Struthio camelus: one gene and its partner. The protein of the gene in region 2 interacts with the protein of the main gene of each other region in a pairwise test. Links are inferred from orthologs where the notes say so. Each region holds a gene or a part of one and is shown on either strand. Other genes may lie near its edges.

Region 1 (8,090 bases), on a different chromosome or scaffold from region 2:
ACTTCATGGCAACCCGGCGTTAAAGTCACCTAGAACACAAGGGAAACCGCCCCATCTTCTACCTGACAAGAAGAATACAATTAAATAGATCAACAGATAGATCAACAGATAAAAGACAGAGAATAACAACAGGAAATGGGGAGGGGAGAGGTGTCACGGAATCTCCCTCAAATACCACACGGAAGGAAAGCGTACATTTTTTAAATTAACTACCTGCATTTAAATGAACACAGAAAATAATTTTGCATAGACCACTCCTAAAACACACAGCACATCAAACACAGACATCACGTGTTCAGATGCACACTTGCACTGATTTTGCACAGCTAGTGAGACTTAATCTTCATCACCGTTTGTGCCCATTTTCTAGCAAACATATGTCATCAAGAACTCAGTACAGACACTCGCAGCACCTGAAACCATTTGCAGCCCAATGGGCAAAGTCTGCAAAGTATTTTCAAAGATGTAACTTCTGAAAATATGCAGTCTTTGGCTAAACAAACAAACAAACACACACACACACACACCTAAAAATAAGAGCTATTTTACTTCTTGACTTTGAAGATCCTATCCAGGAGTGCAGTTTATCAGAGGTACCGTAATACAAATAAAATACAACAATAATACTGAATGGCAGATGGCTTTAAGGATGTGAGAAATCGCATGCATCTGCTGCTTAGGAACGTGAAGACATCGTCATTAGATGGACGGTCCTTAAGGGTCAGAGAACAAGCAGCCTTAAAAGCAAACGAACACAACAGCTGTTGTATGTTGAACTATGAAAAGGAACAAATGCCAGAAAATAAAAAGGCACAGTTATCTAGTCTTTTTCAGAGAGTGCAAGCACGCAGGAGTTACCAGTTTTTCTTACTACTAGCGTTTGTATCTCTGACGCAGTCTTAACAAACTTCGTGTCAACTCTAAGGCGCTAGAATCAGCAGCAGATAATACAACAGGATGCCATGCTTTATTTGGCAAGAATACCGAATGATCTCTCCATCTGAGGCGTGAGAGGAGAAAGCCATATGGATAACCAGCCTGGCACTACAACAGTAAGTAAAATGAAAAGGCTATTGGAAATCTCTCACTCTGGCATGCCAGAGTCTGCCTCACCAGTCGCTCCAAATTAAACAATGAATCATGGAGTTGTATCTGTGTGCAAAACCACATTACACAAACTGCCCTCAGACTTCCAGACAGCGTGCCGCGTAACTGCACAGTGTCGTGAAGGCATGGGGCAGAGCTGGCAGGGAGCTGACCAAGGACCCCCGTTTCATTTTTTGCTCCAAAACACGATCTAAATGACCTTCCATGGCAATTCCACATCATACTGCCCTAACTTTGACCCCTGAAGAATTCCCAACTCTGTCCTAATCCTTCAAAGTCCTCCAGAACCTGTTGACTTCCTTCTGAGCAAGTTGGAGGAGCTTCATCCCAAATCAACTGGCTGCCTGCCTTTTCGCACACACCAGTCACCCCAATCATAACGATGCCACGCGCTCCCTGTTCAACAGAGCATCCTGTTCAAGTTGTCCTATTTGTTTTTCTAGAGTCAGTATGGATTTACTCCCAGCTGACTTTACAAGTTTTCATCAATAATTTAGCAACAGACTGCTCTGTTTCATCTAATCTGGTCACTAGGGGCCTTGTTCTCCACCTTATCAATTCCCTTGGTAAAAAATATCTTGCACAAAACATGTTACCTTTGCCCCCTCTTCCTTCTTTATTCCTCTCCCCCTCTGGTGCTTCCTTCACCCCTCACCTGTCTAACCTGCAACGGGTTTAGGAAGGAGTGCTGTGGCCTACCCTGAATTGTTATTACGGTCAGAACTGAATAAATGAGAAAAAAACATAGTGAAATCCCCAAGGACTCCCTTCATACTTTCAGCTGCTCCTCACTCTTGAATTATTTTAGCTGCATCCCTTTCATACAAATACCGAGAGTCTCAAGGCTCCAGTCCCCTGCTCAGCGCTTTCAACACACACCTTTCTGATGGCTGCGTTTGCAACTTCAAAACCTTTATGACTTGAACCAAATATACTAACAGCACCATACGCTTCTCCAAAAGCGAGAGCACGTGCCTCCCAAGATCAGCAGTCCCATTCCCCTCCCAAGCTACAGGACCCAAACCTAAACCCTCCTAGAAGTCTTCACACCTCTCTTCAGTCCGCTCTCCGAACCAGAGCTCACCTCTTCCTATTTCATAGCCAGGTTGCTCGCTCTCCTTGCGAAACTTCTACGGAGAGACGCCCTCCGCACCTCCAAGCCTGCAGAAGCCCCTTCCATGCCCCTGTGCTCAATTGTCTTACACCTAGCGACGCAGAAGAGGGTCCGTCTAACCCCAGGTGACCCAGGCACCTGCTCCAAGCACCCCAGTCCCGCTGGCACCGGGAGCAAAGCGCATGGCGGGGGGGGGGGAAACCCACACTGATCGCATTTCACGAGGATGCTTTGCGTGCGCACGCACCCGGCTCCCCACAAGCGCCCTTCTGATGCCCAGTATGGACAGACCCGCTGCCTCCCCCAGCAGCCACCCGTATGGGGGTTAGGGAGGACGAAAGGGGCTGCAAGCGTACCCCGTCCCGCTGCAGCAGGGCACCTCTGGGGCGAGAGGGGCTGCCGTAAGGAGGGGGGTGCGAGAGCTGGGGGCGAGGAAGGGGCCCGCAGGGTCGTGGGGAGGGGGTGGGAGGGCACGGGGCTGTGCGAGGGGGCGGCGGGCAAGGGGGTGCGAGGGAGCGATGGGGCAAGTGGGGTATAGAGGGGGCTGCGCAAGGGGGGGGGCAGCGGGGGGAAGGGGGCGCAGTGGAAAGGGAGGGTGTGCAGGGGGGCAAGGAGGCAGCGGGGTAGGGGGGCACCGGGGGGGAAGGGCAAGGGGACAATGGGGGGGCAATGGGGCAGGGCCCCCCGGGAAGAGGTGGCGGGGCCGGGCCCGGGCCCAGGCCGGGGTCGGTACCTGAGGCGCTGCCCGGCTCCGCCGTCCGGGAACCGAGGGCCGGGCCCGGCGCGCTACGCCGGCCCCCGCTTGCCAGCCGGCCCCGGCCCGGCCCGTGCCCTGCCCAGTCCGCCGGGTCCGGGACCGGGTCCGGGACCGGGACCGGGTCCGGGTCGGGCCCCGCCACCGCCGCGTCCCCCCAGCCCGGGCCGGGGCCCGCCGGGAGCAGCGAGTCCGCCGGCCGCCGCCTAGAGCGTCTCCGGCTGGGAGGACCCAGCAAGGCAGCGCGCGGCCGCGAGGGGGCGCGCGAGGCCCGCGGCGAGTCGGCCGGGCTGGGGGCGGGGCCTAGGCAGCGGGGGCGGAGCTCGAGTGGGTGAGGGCGGGGCTAGGGCGGGGTGGGGGCGGGGCCAGGAGAGGCAGTAGGGCAGGCGGGGTTGCTGGCGGGGGCAGAGGGGTGGGACAGGAAGAGGTGCTTGGAGTGGGGTCAGTAGGGCAGGAGGGGTGCTGGAGGGGTCAGTGGGGCAGGAGGGGGTACAGGGGGGCAGGAGGGGGTGCTGGGGGTCAATGGGGCAGGAGGGGGTATAGGGGGGCAGGAGGGGATGCAGGGGGGTCAGTGGGGCAGGAGGGGGTACGGGGGCAGGAGGGGGTGCTGGAGGGGTCAGTGGGGCAGGAGGGGATGCAGGGGGGCAGGAGGGAGTGCTGGGGGTCAATGGGGCAGGAGGGGGTGCAGGAGGGGTCAGTGGGGCAGGAGGGGGTACGGGGGCAGGAGGGGGTGCTGGAGGGGTCAGTGGGGCAGGAGGGGATGCAGGGGGGCAGGAGGGAGTGCTGGGGGTCAATGGGGCAGGAGGGGGTGCAGGAGGGGTCAGTGGGGCAGGAGGGGGTGCAGGAGGGAGTTGCTGGGGGGTCAATGGGGCAGGAGAGGGTGCTGGAGAGGTCAGTGAAGCAGGAGGGGATGCAGGGGGGCAGGAGGGGATGCAGGGGGGCAGGAGGGGTGCTGGGAGGCAGGAGGGGGTGCAGGAGGGCAGGAGGGGGGTGCTGGGGGGTCAGTGGGGCAGGAGGGAGGCAGGGGGGCAGGAGGGGGGGTCAGGGGGGCAGGAGGGGTTGCTGGGGGGTCAGTGGGGCAGGAGGAGGTGCTGGGAGGCAGGAGAGCGCCTGCACCCCGCAGCCTCCCGTGCCCCTTGCCGCCCCGTCCCGCGGGGGGACCCGTTTGCCCGGGGGCCGCGGTACCGGTGGCTCGGCGTGCCACGTCTCCAGCCCCGCTGCCCAGCGCCTTCAAGGCACCTCCGCGGGGCCGGCGGCGAGGCCCGGGCTGGACGCGCCTCTTCCGAAGGGGCTCAGCGCACATGCAAGGCCCCGGCACGCTGCCGGGCACGGGGGAAACCGGGAGGGATCGTGTGCTATTCCAGTGCAGCCCGGCAAAGCACGTGCCCGTGCGGTCCTGCTTTTCCCTCTGGCCGCTCGGACTGCGATTTGCAGGCGAGCACGGTTTTGGGGTCCCGCAACGGCCCGTGTTGGGGTGCGCTGGGGCCCGGGACGACAAGGAAAGTTGAGCTGGGTTGAAGATGGCTCTGCAATCCAAGTCCCCGCTTGAGCTGTCGTCGTGCGGAGCTGCTGCCCGTTTGCAGCAGCTGCGGTTACGTCCCGGGCTCCAGCTGCTGCTCCCCAGCCGAGACGCTCCAGCGCTCCCAGTCTGCCCCAGTGCAAAGCTGGGGAGCGATGGTTTCGCCAACCCGCTCTGTTTTAGGTGGGGACCCCGCAGGTTGCTCCGCATCGGCTGAGCGGCAGGGAGGATCTCGGGGGGGCCAGCATCCTCCCCTGCTTCCCGGGCGCGCGTTGGCGTGACGCCCGCGGGGGCCTCGTGCAATTTCCAGGGTGGCAGCTCGGGTCGAGCAGAGCCCGGTGCCGCCCGGGCAGGCCCTGAGCGTCTGCTGAGCCTGACCCCCCTTTGCCCAGCTGGTCCCGCAAAGAGGACTGGAGCGTTACTGCAGTACTTTTCTTTCCGCCGCGCGCGTGGCTGACGGAGCGCGACGCAGCGGCAGCGTTGCAGCGCGCGGCGCCCGCTGGAGGGGCCCTGCCGCCCGGTGGTCCAAAGTCCGAAACGGCGAACGGCCGAGATAAAGCTGCTGAGCCCAGCCTGCCGCCAACCCCACGCGCCGCGGATTAACTTCCCCTTAAAGGCTCCCTCGGGAGCAGCCTGGATGGGATGCCTCCGCGGGGGAGCGGACAGAGGCGGTGTGCGGAGAGGAGCCCCCTTCTCCTTTTCCCTGCCCGGGTGATTTTGCAGGCTGGGAAGATATAAAACGTTATAGACCCGCTGCAATAACCCACGCACAGACACCTGCCCCGTACGCCCTCTCCTAGCAGCACTGCCGCGGGAGCGCGGTAGCATCCTTTGACAGCTTCCCCTTGCTTTCCCGGTGAGATGCACCCAGAGCCCATCCCACGGAGACCCAGGCAATTCCCACCCCCCAGAAGCTGCCGGTGGAGCCCCAAGCCAAGGCACAGCCCCGGGCAGCGAGCGTCCCCGCAGAGGTGGGTCGCTGTGCCCGTCCCTCCGGCCACGGCAGCAGGCTGGAAAAATCCCATGGTGCATGGAAACGCGGAAAAACAACCTACCCCGAAAGGCAGGTTTCGGAAAGTCCGATAAAGTTCACCCCCATTCTCGCCCCAGTGCAATTGCTGCAGCTGAAGCCGGTCTAAACGGCTTTTCGGAGACATGTCAGGTGTTCAGGGCTTGAGAAAACTAGGACATCCTGCCTTGCCTCTGGCCAGCTCCTTTGCACCAGCCCAGCCAAAGCCTCTCCACCTCTAAACTGGGGCGTGATGGCACTTCCCCTCTTTCATGCAGCTCCAACTCTTTCTGATCTAGGTAGGAAAACAAAGCACGGCGGATCATAAAAGTCATCAGAACGGCAACCTGGGGTGAACTGAGCCACGGACGGAGGGAAGGGCGCGGACGCTCGGAAAATGAGAGGCGGCGAGAAAAACAGATGTCATCGAGCGCTCGTTCCCCTGGAGGGTTAACGTGCCCCCCCCCCGCCAGCCTGCGCTCTTCCCCTCCCCGCCTGCTGCTGGGATTCCCTGCCATTGGCTGTCTCTGTAGGTTTAGGCTAAAAAGCCTGTAATTAGGACCCCAGCTGACACAGATCCAGTTTCCTGGGCAGGCAGATTAAAAAAAAAAAAAAAAATTGTTTCCCTAACTCAGCTCGGATGTTTTCCTTTCGCTTTGCAAAGCTTCCCCCTGCTCAGCCTCAGCCGCGCTTCCCGCGTCTCCGCCGGAGCAGGTAGGGCGAGCCGGGCCGGCGAGCGTCGAGGGCCGCCGGAGCGCGCGGCACCGTGGCCGGAGCCCGGCCGGAGCGGGCGGCGGAGCCGGCGCAGGTAGGGGAGCCGCGCGGCTGTCTCCAAGGTTTTTCTCGCGCTGCCGAGGCCCTTCCTGGGGGCGGCTGGAAGGGAGGGAGGCGCGCCGGCGGAGCTCGAACCGGAGGAGAAAACGTTGGGCAAGCAGGGGAAACGGGCTGATTCCCCACCTGGGGACTGTTGCAAATGGGAAGACAAGGGAAGCGGGGGAAAAACTGAATTTGGGAGAGATTTTGGCTGGTTCCTCTGCGGGAAAAATGAACTGGGGGAAGCAAAATAGTATCGCTGCCCCCTCCACCCCCGCGGTCTTTGTCTGCGGCAAACGTCCCCGGAGAGCACGAGACGGCGCCTGCCCTATCGCCGCCAGATCTCGGCCGCTCTGGGCTCGCGCACCCCTGGGCACGCAGGTGGATGCACGCCGAGGCAGGGCTTTCCCTCGGCTCCCGCGTCCGGAAAGCCCTCCGGCCGGCGGCAGCACCCAGCACGCCCCGCCGAGGGGTCCCCACGGGGGACGTCGTGCCGGCGGGGGAGCCGCGGCCGAAGCCAGCGCTGCTCCGCCGGGATCAAACCCCGGGGCTGCGGGGGCGAGGCAGGTCTCCATTCCCATCGCGGATCTACGAATGACTGAGTTACAGCAGGTTAATGGGTTACTGCTCCTCACCGGGACGGGGCAACCGGACGTGCCTGCACCCTCAGCGCAGGGAAAACGCAGTAAGAAAAGCCCTTTGCAGCACTGGTGCGTCCCCTCGGGAGCAAACGGGCCATGGCGTTGGCCAAGGTCTCCTCCAGCGACGCGGTCCCAAAGCAGGTGCCTACGCGAGACGGAGACTCCGGCTGGGCTGGCCGGGCTCGGTCGCGCGGCAGGATTAGCTGCTGGCGCTCGCCTTGCCAGACCTCAGCTCCTCTCACCCCAAAAGAGAGATGCACCTTTCCTGTGCTGCATCTTTCTTTCCAAGCACCTTCGTTGCAGCTGTGTTGACAGGACCTGTAGCAAAACTGGGTTACCGCGTGGGTGAGGTGTTGCATGCACGGCTCCGTGCCCAAAAGCTGCCAGCGTTTTCGGGTGCTTGCAATGGGATCTGGCCTTCTTGGTGATGGCGAGCGATCGCACTTCCTCGTGGTCGCAGAGCTGAGGAGGGTTTGGTGCTGCTGCGAAAGAGGTGACTCTGGAAAACCAAAGGCTGCAGCAGAGACGCAGATTAGACGTGGTCTGTGTTGGGAGCCGGGAAACGAGGAGGCTGTGCTGCATGCGAATGGGCCAGGGCGGCTGTACTGCAAGTTAATGTTGCGACCTTGGCAGGAGAGGGCTGGGAGCCCGCGCGTGCTCCTGCTGCCAGCCGGGGCTGGGGCTGCACCCGGAAAGCAAATCCCTGTGAATTCAGCCTCTTTAACCCCGGGAACTGCGACTGCTTCACAAAGGGCTGTAACTATTGTGGGAAACGCGCTCGGAGCAGGAAAGGAAATCCTCCAGGGCCGCGGAGCAAGGCAGCGCCAAGAGCAGGACCCGGGAGCCCAAAAGCTGTTTGCAGCCTTGCAAACGCTGCAGGGGTCCGAGGGCGGCAGCGGGTGGGAGACGCGCTGGGACGGCCCGTCCGGGAGCGCAGGGGCCGCGCCGGTGTCCCCTGGCCGGGACAGGGAGCGGAGGAGCCCGACCTGCTGGAGCTGCCCGGCTCCTTAGCATGGGAGACGCTTCCCGCTGTCACCGTCTGCTGCTAATTACAGGGAATTGTCGGCAGCCCAGACGGCTGCCCGTCCGCGTAATCGCATCAAGCCAAGCCGGGCTGGGCTCTCCAGCGCGGC
Region 2 (7,605 bases):
ATTAATTGTAGAGGAGGGTAGAAAAGAGGATGAATCAACATTTTTTCATTCAGGGGCTCTTTGTGTTATTAATTTTTATTCCCCTTCTTGTATTGCTCATTGTGTTCCTTCTCAATTTACACACAGCCTTTAGTTTAATTAAAAGTGTCCTCCATGTCAGATCTGTTTTTGTAGAAAGAACCTTACCAATGTCACTGTAAAATAAAAGCTCTGGGAGAGAATGCCTTTTTGTTATTTCACACCGAAAATTAAAGGAAACTTCACTTTCTTTTTCCTAAAGTTGTCATCATGAAATCCCTTGATATGTAAAAGTGTAGTTTGGTTTGATTACATGTGCATTAGCAATAGAAAACATGAATTTGAGAGCCACTATGACACAGGTGTACTAGAATGTGAAGCGTACTAGAATGTGATATTATCAAAGAATTAGTCTAACAAATGATGAAGACATTTACTTTTTACCTTCCCAAAAGTTGCAGCACAGGCAGGTTCCAGCTTCTCTTTTCTGCAGAAGTCTAAATAATGTGCATAAAGGATGCATCTTGGTAAACAAACTCCTTCACATACAATATAGTTTTCTTCCAGCCTGTATAGAAAAAGAGTCTGCCAGAGTAAGAAGCAACAGGGTATGTCTCCCCATTTTAGTTTCCTTCTGCTGTTTGGAACTGCCCTTTCTTTCCATTTTACTGAAGATTTCCATGACAGCACACAGGTGAGTTCCTACTAAACAAGAGAGTCAACACAGAGAGACTGACTCCACACTTGGTGGTTAGGGTAGCTGCAAAATACGGAAAAACTGGGGCCAGGTACCTCTTCTTAATCAGTCTTTTAAAATTTCTGAATGTTTTTGCTTTCCATAAATAACTAAATGATCACTGTCTAAGAGCCAGCCTGGCACTGAAAATAAGAACATTAACTACACTATAAAAGACTTGGATTTAAGTGTATTGCTTGAATAGAGCTGAGGCTTGAACGCGCATCTGCTGTCCCACTGTATCCTAACACCAGGGCTAATGTCTCTTTTCTTCCTAGTTTTGCTTTTTAATTTTCACATTGGACCTGAAGCTGTTTCTTGACCAAACCATACTGCAAATCAAAGAAATGGCATTTTCTGAAGAGGATGCATTTTGTATACAGCTTCCCAAACAGTTTACAACTTAAAAGTGCCTATTGATGGTCATTAAAATGATATCTTAATAGCTGAACTAAAATCTAGTTATTCTTCCTTGAACTGAACTCCTGGTAATGGCTGGATATTTCTTTCTTGCCTTGTTTCTTTTCTTTATCAGTTTCCATTATTTGCTACTGCTGGAATGATGTGTAATAAATTTATTTCTCAAAATACATAAATGTTTAAGAGAACACTGTGTAGTGAACACTGCATATGGAATACTTTTGCACTGACTCCTCATATTCAACTCCTTAGCATTTACTCTCTGCTCTAAGAAATCAGATGTAAACTAGACTGGGAAAATGGGAAATCTGGACTACTCTTTATTTTCAGTTATAAGGAAAAACCTAGATTTACAGGTTGCATTTTGTAATGGAGTTCCCATTTAATTCAATAGTACCGGTCCCCAGTGTCAAGAATGCTTTAATAGTAACCTCTACCAACTAATGCCTGCAGAATTTGATCTCATGTTTGGTTAATTTTTGCCCAGATAAAATGAAGTGAAATTTAGGACTTCTATGGATGGTAGAACACAATGTAAAAAGCACATTTATAAGACCATGAAATAGTAGCAATTACAGCCTTAAAGGATAACTAAAAACATCCATTCACGAATTTAATTCTTAAGTAATGCTTCATTTCTACATTTTGCAAGATTTTCAGTTAGCTGATAATATACATCAATTAACATTGTATTCCTGCACAAGCAGGAAGACAAACTACATTGATTTTAATTCTGCCTTAGAGACGTGGATTATATGTTCAGGTACGATAACCTGATAGTTAGCGACTTTATGCTTCAGTAAGTTTGAGCTTTCATCAACGGCCACGTATTGTGAGAACCATCACTTCCTGACCGATCTGCTAACGCAAACAAATAAACCTCTGCTAATAAAATTCTTTAAAAAATAGAAATGTAAGGGTTCTGATTTGTAAATGAGACTTATCAAGCAAACAAACAAACACGACGACTATTTCTAAAAGAACCGTGAGATGCAATTTGTCTTGTCTTCTCAGTTTTTCCACAGACGTCCCTTTCGGCATGCAAAGGGCTTCGGCGTGCGAACTGCCGGGCCGGTTCACCTGGCTGGCGACACACGGGCAGCCAGGAGCGCCCCCGCTCCGCGGCCGGGCCAGCGGCCCCGAGGCGGCGGCGGCGGCGGTGGCGGCGGGCGCGGGGCGCCGCCAGCCGGGACCACGGCGGGGCCGCGGGCGGGCAGCGCCGCGGCGGGAGCCCTACCATTGCAGGGTGAGCTGCGTCTGCTTCTTCTTGTCCTTCATGATCTGCGTGATGCTCTTCTTCGGAGACAGGCTCTTGTCCGCGGCTTTTAGTTTGCCGTCGGGCGCGTCTGCATCCTCCTCTTCCGAGGAGAGGACTTCGCCGTTAAAACGTATTTCTGGGCGGGAGGGAGGGAAAAGAAGAGGAACCGAAGGGCGTCAGGGCGGTCCTTCGGCACGGCGGCTCGTCCCGGCGCCCTCGCCGCCCCCCGGGCGCCCGTTGAACCGGCGCCCTGCCCGCCGCTGCCTCCGGGCGCGACCTCCCCGCCGCCTCCCCAGGCGGCAGCAGCCCCGCCCGGGCTCCTGGCGCCGCCCGTGCTCGCCGCCCGCCGCCCCAGCCCCGTGCTGGCTGGCGGGCGACAAGGGCACGCCGCCGGGACGCGGCCCGCCCTTACCTGACTTGATGCCGGCGGGCAGCGCCGGCTGCGGGAGCCCCCTCTCGGCGCCCGCCGCGGCGCACAGCCCCTCCTCGGCGTAGGGCAGCAAGCCTCTGGCCAGCAGCTCCGCGTAGCAGTCCTCCTGGGCGCCGGGGGAAACTGCCGGCGCGGCCGGCAGGTGCAGGAAAGCGTCCTCTCTCTCGGGCCCCTTGGCCATGCTGCTCACCGGCTCCTGCCCTGCCCCGCCGCGGCGCAGGCGGCGCCCATGGGCGGCGGCAGGCGGCAGGCGACGAGACGGGCCGGGGCGGGCCGGGCCGGGCCGGGCCGGGGCGGGCGCGGCGGCGGCCTCAGGGCGCGGGCATGGGCGGCGCAAGGCCGCTTGTGCGGGGCCGCGGTCCTGCCGCCCGAGCGCCGACGGCAGCAGTGTGAGGGGAGGAGAGGCGAGCCGACGGCGGCGAGGGGCAGGTGTGCCCTACGGCGCCTGCCGGGGAGGCGGCGTGGCTGCCGCGTGGGGGGAGCGGCGGCCGGCCCGGCGCCACTCCCTCCTCCCCGCTGCTGCCCCCGCACCCGCCGAGGGGCTCCGCCTCGGATGCGGGCCTGGAGGGCGCTGGCAGGCGGGAGCGGGGAGGCCTCCCGTCCCCTGCCTGCCTCCCCGCAGCTCGGTCGGCCGGTCCCGCCTGGCCGGCGGGGTGGGGGCGACGGGGCGTAGTTAAAAGCCCCGGGAGGTTCAGGGGAGCCGGCCCCGGAGCGGACCTGCAGGGGACTTAATGATTAACTCCCGCCGGCGACGGCTCCCGCTGGCGTGAGGGAGTAACTCTTCCTCCGCCATGCCGCGGCGGCGGCGGCCAGGGCAGCGGGCGGCCGTTGGGGCTCTCCTCACGGCAGCAGCCTCGTCACAGCCCCCCATGGAGGAGGAGGCCATGGCGGGCAGAGCGAGGCCTGCTGTGCCCGGGGCCGTCGGGGACTCCCCCTGAAGGGCCGTGCACCCTTTCAAGGCTATGGCTGGCAGGGGAGCGCCTTTGGGGATACACTGGGCCGGCAGGATTGCTCTGGTATCAAGACTGTTTTAGGACATTGAAAATGGGGATTCCTTTCTTTTTAGCCCCCTCTTTTCTTTCTTTTTTCTTTTTTTCTTCTTTTTTGGCAAGCATGGCATTTTCTAGATTCTTTTCAGAACTCTGGACAGGTTCAAGCGCACATTACAATGTACAATTTACTGGTTGCTCCGTTCAAACATTTCTTTATTTTTCTCGTGTCCCCTGTAGTATTCTCACTGCATATATGACGCTAAATTCTTCACCAGGACATCAGTTCTCAACATAACTCATTGGGCCAGTTCAGCTGGTTTCAGCATCGTTGTGCTGAGGTTATGCAAAATTGCATTTGAGACTGACTTCTCTGTGACTTTTGACTGAGCAGAATACTTCAGGGTCTGGCCGACAGGGATCAGTATCCCCTCTGTATAGTAAATCCTCCCAGCTACTAATTATTGTGTTGAATCTTTTCTGAGAAGAATCTACTGTGCCATTGTCTTTCCTGGCAATATGAAAATAAATGTAATGTTTCCTGTGAAAGGGCAGGATTCTCCCTTGCTATTATTTCAGAATATCTCCACTGAAACTAACAGAATTACAGCCACGATCAACACAGAGATTAACTCAAGGAGGGGTCTGGTCCGGGGACCAGCTGGTTTCTACCTTGGGGTAACCAGCCATTTGTAGTACCTTCCTGTCCCTTCTGAGGGCCAGGCACTGCTTTAATTAGCTTTATCTAAAATTAATGATGATTTTAAGAGCTTTTTTGAGCATAGAAGTTCTCCCTGGATTTAGTAATCCTTTCTGGCTCATACAAACAGTCATCTACTTGTTCTTTCAAAGCCAGTGAAAGATTGCTGTGTGCTGTTACCAGCTTCGTATAAAACTAAGCATATGTTTGCAGCAGTAAAGAAAGAAAAGCAGATAGGCCGGTGGTCCTAAGTAAACGCACAATGTTCAAAGTATGCATGAGAACAAGTATTTCATCCAGTGCTACAATATGGGAGCAAATATATCTATTCTATAACTAATAGGAATAAGTGAGAATTTTTATAAGTGACATGCAATAAATTAAATGTAAATTATTCTCCTCTGGTGGCAGTGCTCTTTAATAAACTACAAAGGTAGTTACAAAATGTTTCAACAAGGTTCTGTATGAAATCATTGACAATGAAAGTAATAAAAGATAATCCTGGCAAGTGAAGGGAAATTCTGGTAGTCTGAACTATTTACTCACAGCAATAAAACAAATCCTTTTGTTATATAATCTACTTTATGTGAAGTATGAGATTGATACTGGATCTCTTTGCAAACTCACACCGATGGCTGCTCAGCTGAGCCTATAACTCTTGTCGTTATGCTTCTGTCCCTCCTACCTATCGGTAGGAGGGATAGGTGTGTCTCCCTACTCATAGGTTTACAATATGCAAAACCTTTTGGCAGTGTGCACATATCTTCCAGTTCAGGTCAGCCTGCTCTGTATCTTATCCTCTGCTAGTTTGTTTCTGATGGCATTTCTGAAATTTTTTATTGTCCTTATTCTCCCATTCTCTCGTTCAGTCCCATTTTAGGAGTGCTGAATATAGTGCTGAAACACTTAAAAGTCCGGAAGAGATCATCTCAGCCTTTTCCACAAAACGAAGGCAGGATTATGTGTAGGTATAGTTATACCTATATTATTCCCAAAACTGTGCCTCTCACCTGTTTTTAAAGATTTCCAGTGATGGAGAGTGCCATCATTCCCAGATCATTTATTAGTCTATCTGTAAAAAAGGTTTGCTAGTGTCTAACAAACTCACTTCAGTTTGAGTCCATTGCTTCTCTTTTCTGTCTATCTGAGAACATGGAGAAAAGATTACTCTTGTTCTATTTTCATCAGTTTTTAAGCATTTCAGGACAGTTATCATATCTCCTCTCTGATTCGTTGTCATTTCATTAATAAAAAACAACCAGTAAAATTAAATTGACTGTACGAGTTCTCATTGCATTTTCCAATTTGCTCCTGCCTCCTAATACTTTTGATAGTTTTGGCAGTAATCTCATCATTTCTATTGCCATTACTTTGCTGTTGGTGAAAGGATCTTTCAACATCCTTTTCCTTTCTCCCAGCAGGCTCAATCTTTTTTTCTAACAGTGCTTTAATCAGCAAAGTGGAAACTGAACATACCTTTCCTCTTTCTCCTTTTGTATTGCCACGGAAGATTTCTTTTCCATTCCTCAGAGTATATTTATTCTGTAGCCAGTAAGTCGTGCTTCGTAGTCAGGGATTTCTCAGAGTAAATTTCCCATTTCTGGTACCTGCATGGTACACCTGTGGTGTTTTAGTGGCATCATGGAACTGCCAACATGGACTGCCAACCCAAGCCAAGAAGCTCAGGTAGTTGCCCACAAGCTTGCAGTCTCCAAGTAATTTTCTTTGCTTTTTCCCATTCATGGGAGGCTGCCAAGGTTTTGTAAACTTCCTAAAAAAACAATTGCCTTTACTTTGGCCTTCATGTTTATCTTACTTATCCCAGCCCTCGTTGCCTTTTCTCAAACCATTCCTGCTTCCATCCAGTTCCTAGCACTCTGTGTGTACCACACGGCTTAAATTTTCAAGTCCATTTACCAGAGTCTGTTGAGCCAGAGATTCTGTGCTTCAACACTGCCTCCTGTGACATCTTTGTAATCATTTTTGTTTATTTACCTCTCTTCCCTGCAGCACACTTCTCTTGCTAATGCATTCTGAAGCACTTATTCCAACATAAGCAAAGCATTGCAGCTCCACTTTCCCTTTACTGGACCTTAAACGTGAGAAGTGGTTGCTCCTGCCTGCTGGGAAACGTTGATTTAAGACAACTGAAGAAGACTCTTACAAAACGACTAGCACACTGTGTGCTATACTTTTTACCTCCAGAACTTAACTACTAGTTGTCTTTTGTTTGTTGTAATCTCATAAACATCCGACCTGATGGAAATGTACTGTATTTCTCATAAAGAAAACATGCAGCTTTCATTATCTCTTACCATTCTTACCCTAGTACTCTCTTCCAAGGCTCATATTGTGTCTAGAAAAGTGCTCTGAGTCATTTAGAGCAAACACATTTCTGAACTTTTAAACCAAAATTTTCAAAATGAATTTCATGCTAAAAACAAATCTTCAGAATCTAACTCATGTTTTAAGCTATTGTCCACCTATAGCCTCTATGTGGTTAAAAGGACAGACTCCTGGACTTCTGCAGCATGGACTGCATCTCTCCCTGCGCTGTGGACAAATCTGAGCATAGCAACATTCAGCAAATAATGCAGCAGATGGGAAGGGAATATCCTATTGCATTTAGCTGATTATGGGTAGATGTTCTATAGGTGACTTAGAAGCCAAAGAAGCAGTAGTTTTAGACCATGTTAGTTCATATTTTGCATAAATGTAGATATTTAAAAAGAATGGCTGAGGTTGGAAGGGACCTCTGGAGATCATCTAGTCCAACCCCCTCCTCAAGCAGGGTCCTCTGGAGCATATTTCCCAGGATCACATCCAGATGGGTTTTGAATATCTCCAGGGAAGGAGACTCCACTACCTCTCTGGGCAGCCTGTTCCAGGGCTCAGGCACCCTCACAGCAAAGAAGTTTTTTCTCAGGTTCAGATGGAACTTCCTGTGTTTCAGTTTCTGCCCATTGCCTCTTGTCCTGTTGCTTGTCCTTCTGCATGGAGAAGAGTCTGGACCCATTCTCTGGACACCTTACCTTTAGATATTTGTATACGTTG

The links. The genes of interacting proteins can lie anywhere in the genome.
Region 1: the proteins of RFX6 (region 2) and FRS3 interact in binary tests that used the Homo sapiens proteins (3 or more experiments, as listed by UniProt). The two-hybrid records come from large-scale screens. The link is inferred for Struthio camelus from reciprocal best matches to the Homo sapiens genes RFX6 and FRS3.

The regions. Positions count from the first base shown.
Region 1 is NC_090965.1:6,317,236-6,325,325, forward strand, and holds the start of FRS3 (fibroblast growth factor receptor substrate 3), read right to left. Parts: upstream 3,084-8,090; 5' UTR 2,955-3,083; intron 2,296-2,954; exon of another isoform or gene 2,192-2,295; intron 63-2,191; 5' UTR 1-62. Other genes in the region: PRICKLE4 (prickle-like protein 4), read left to right, coding at 6,933-7,001. UniProt on the Homo sapiens protein: Adapter protein that links FGF and NGF receptors to downstream signaling pathways. Involved in the activation of MAP kinases. Down-regulates ERK2 signaling by interfering with the phosphorylation and nuclear translocation of ERK2.
Region 2 is NC_090944.1:64,350,201-64,357,805, reverse strand, and holds the start of RFX6 (DNA-binding protein RFX6), read right to left. Parts: upstream 3,044-7,605; coding exon 2,845-3,043; intron 2,569-2,844; coding exon 2,412-2,568; intron 587-2,411; coding exon 463-586; intron 1-462. UniProt on the Homo sapiens protein: Transcription factor required to direct islet cell differentiation during endocrine pancreas development. Specifically required for the differentiation of 4 of the 5 islet cell types and for the production of insulin.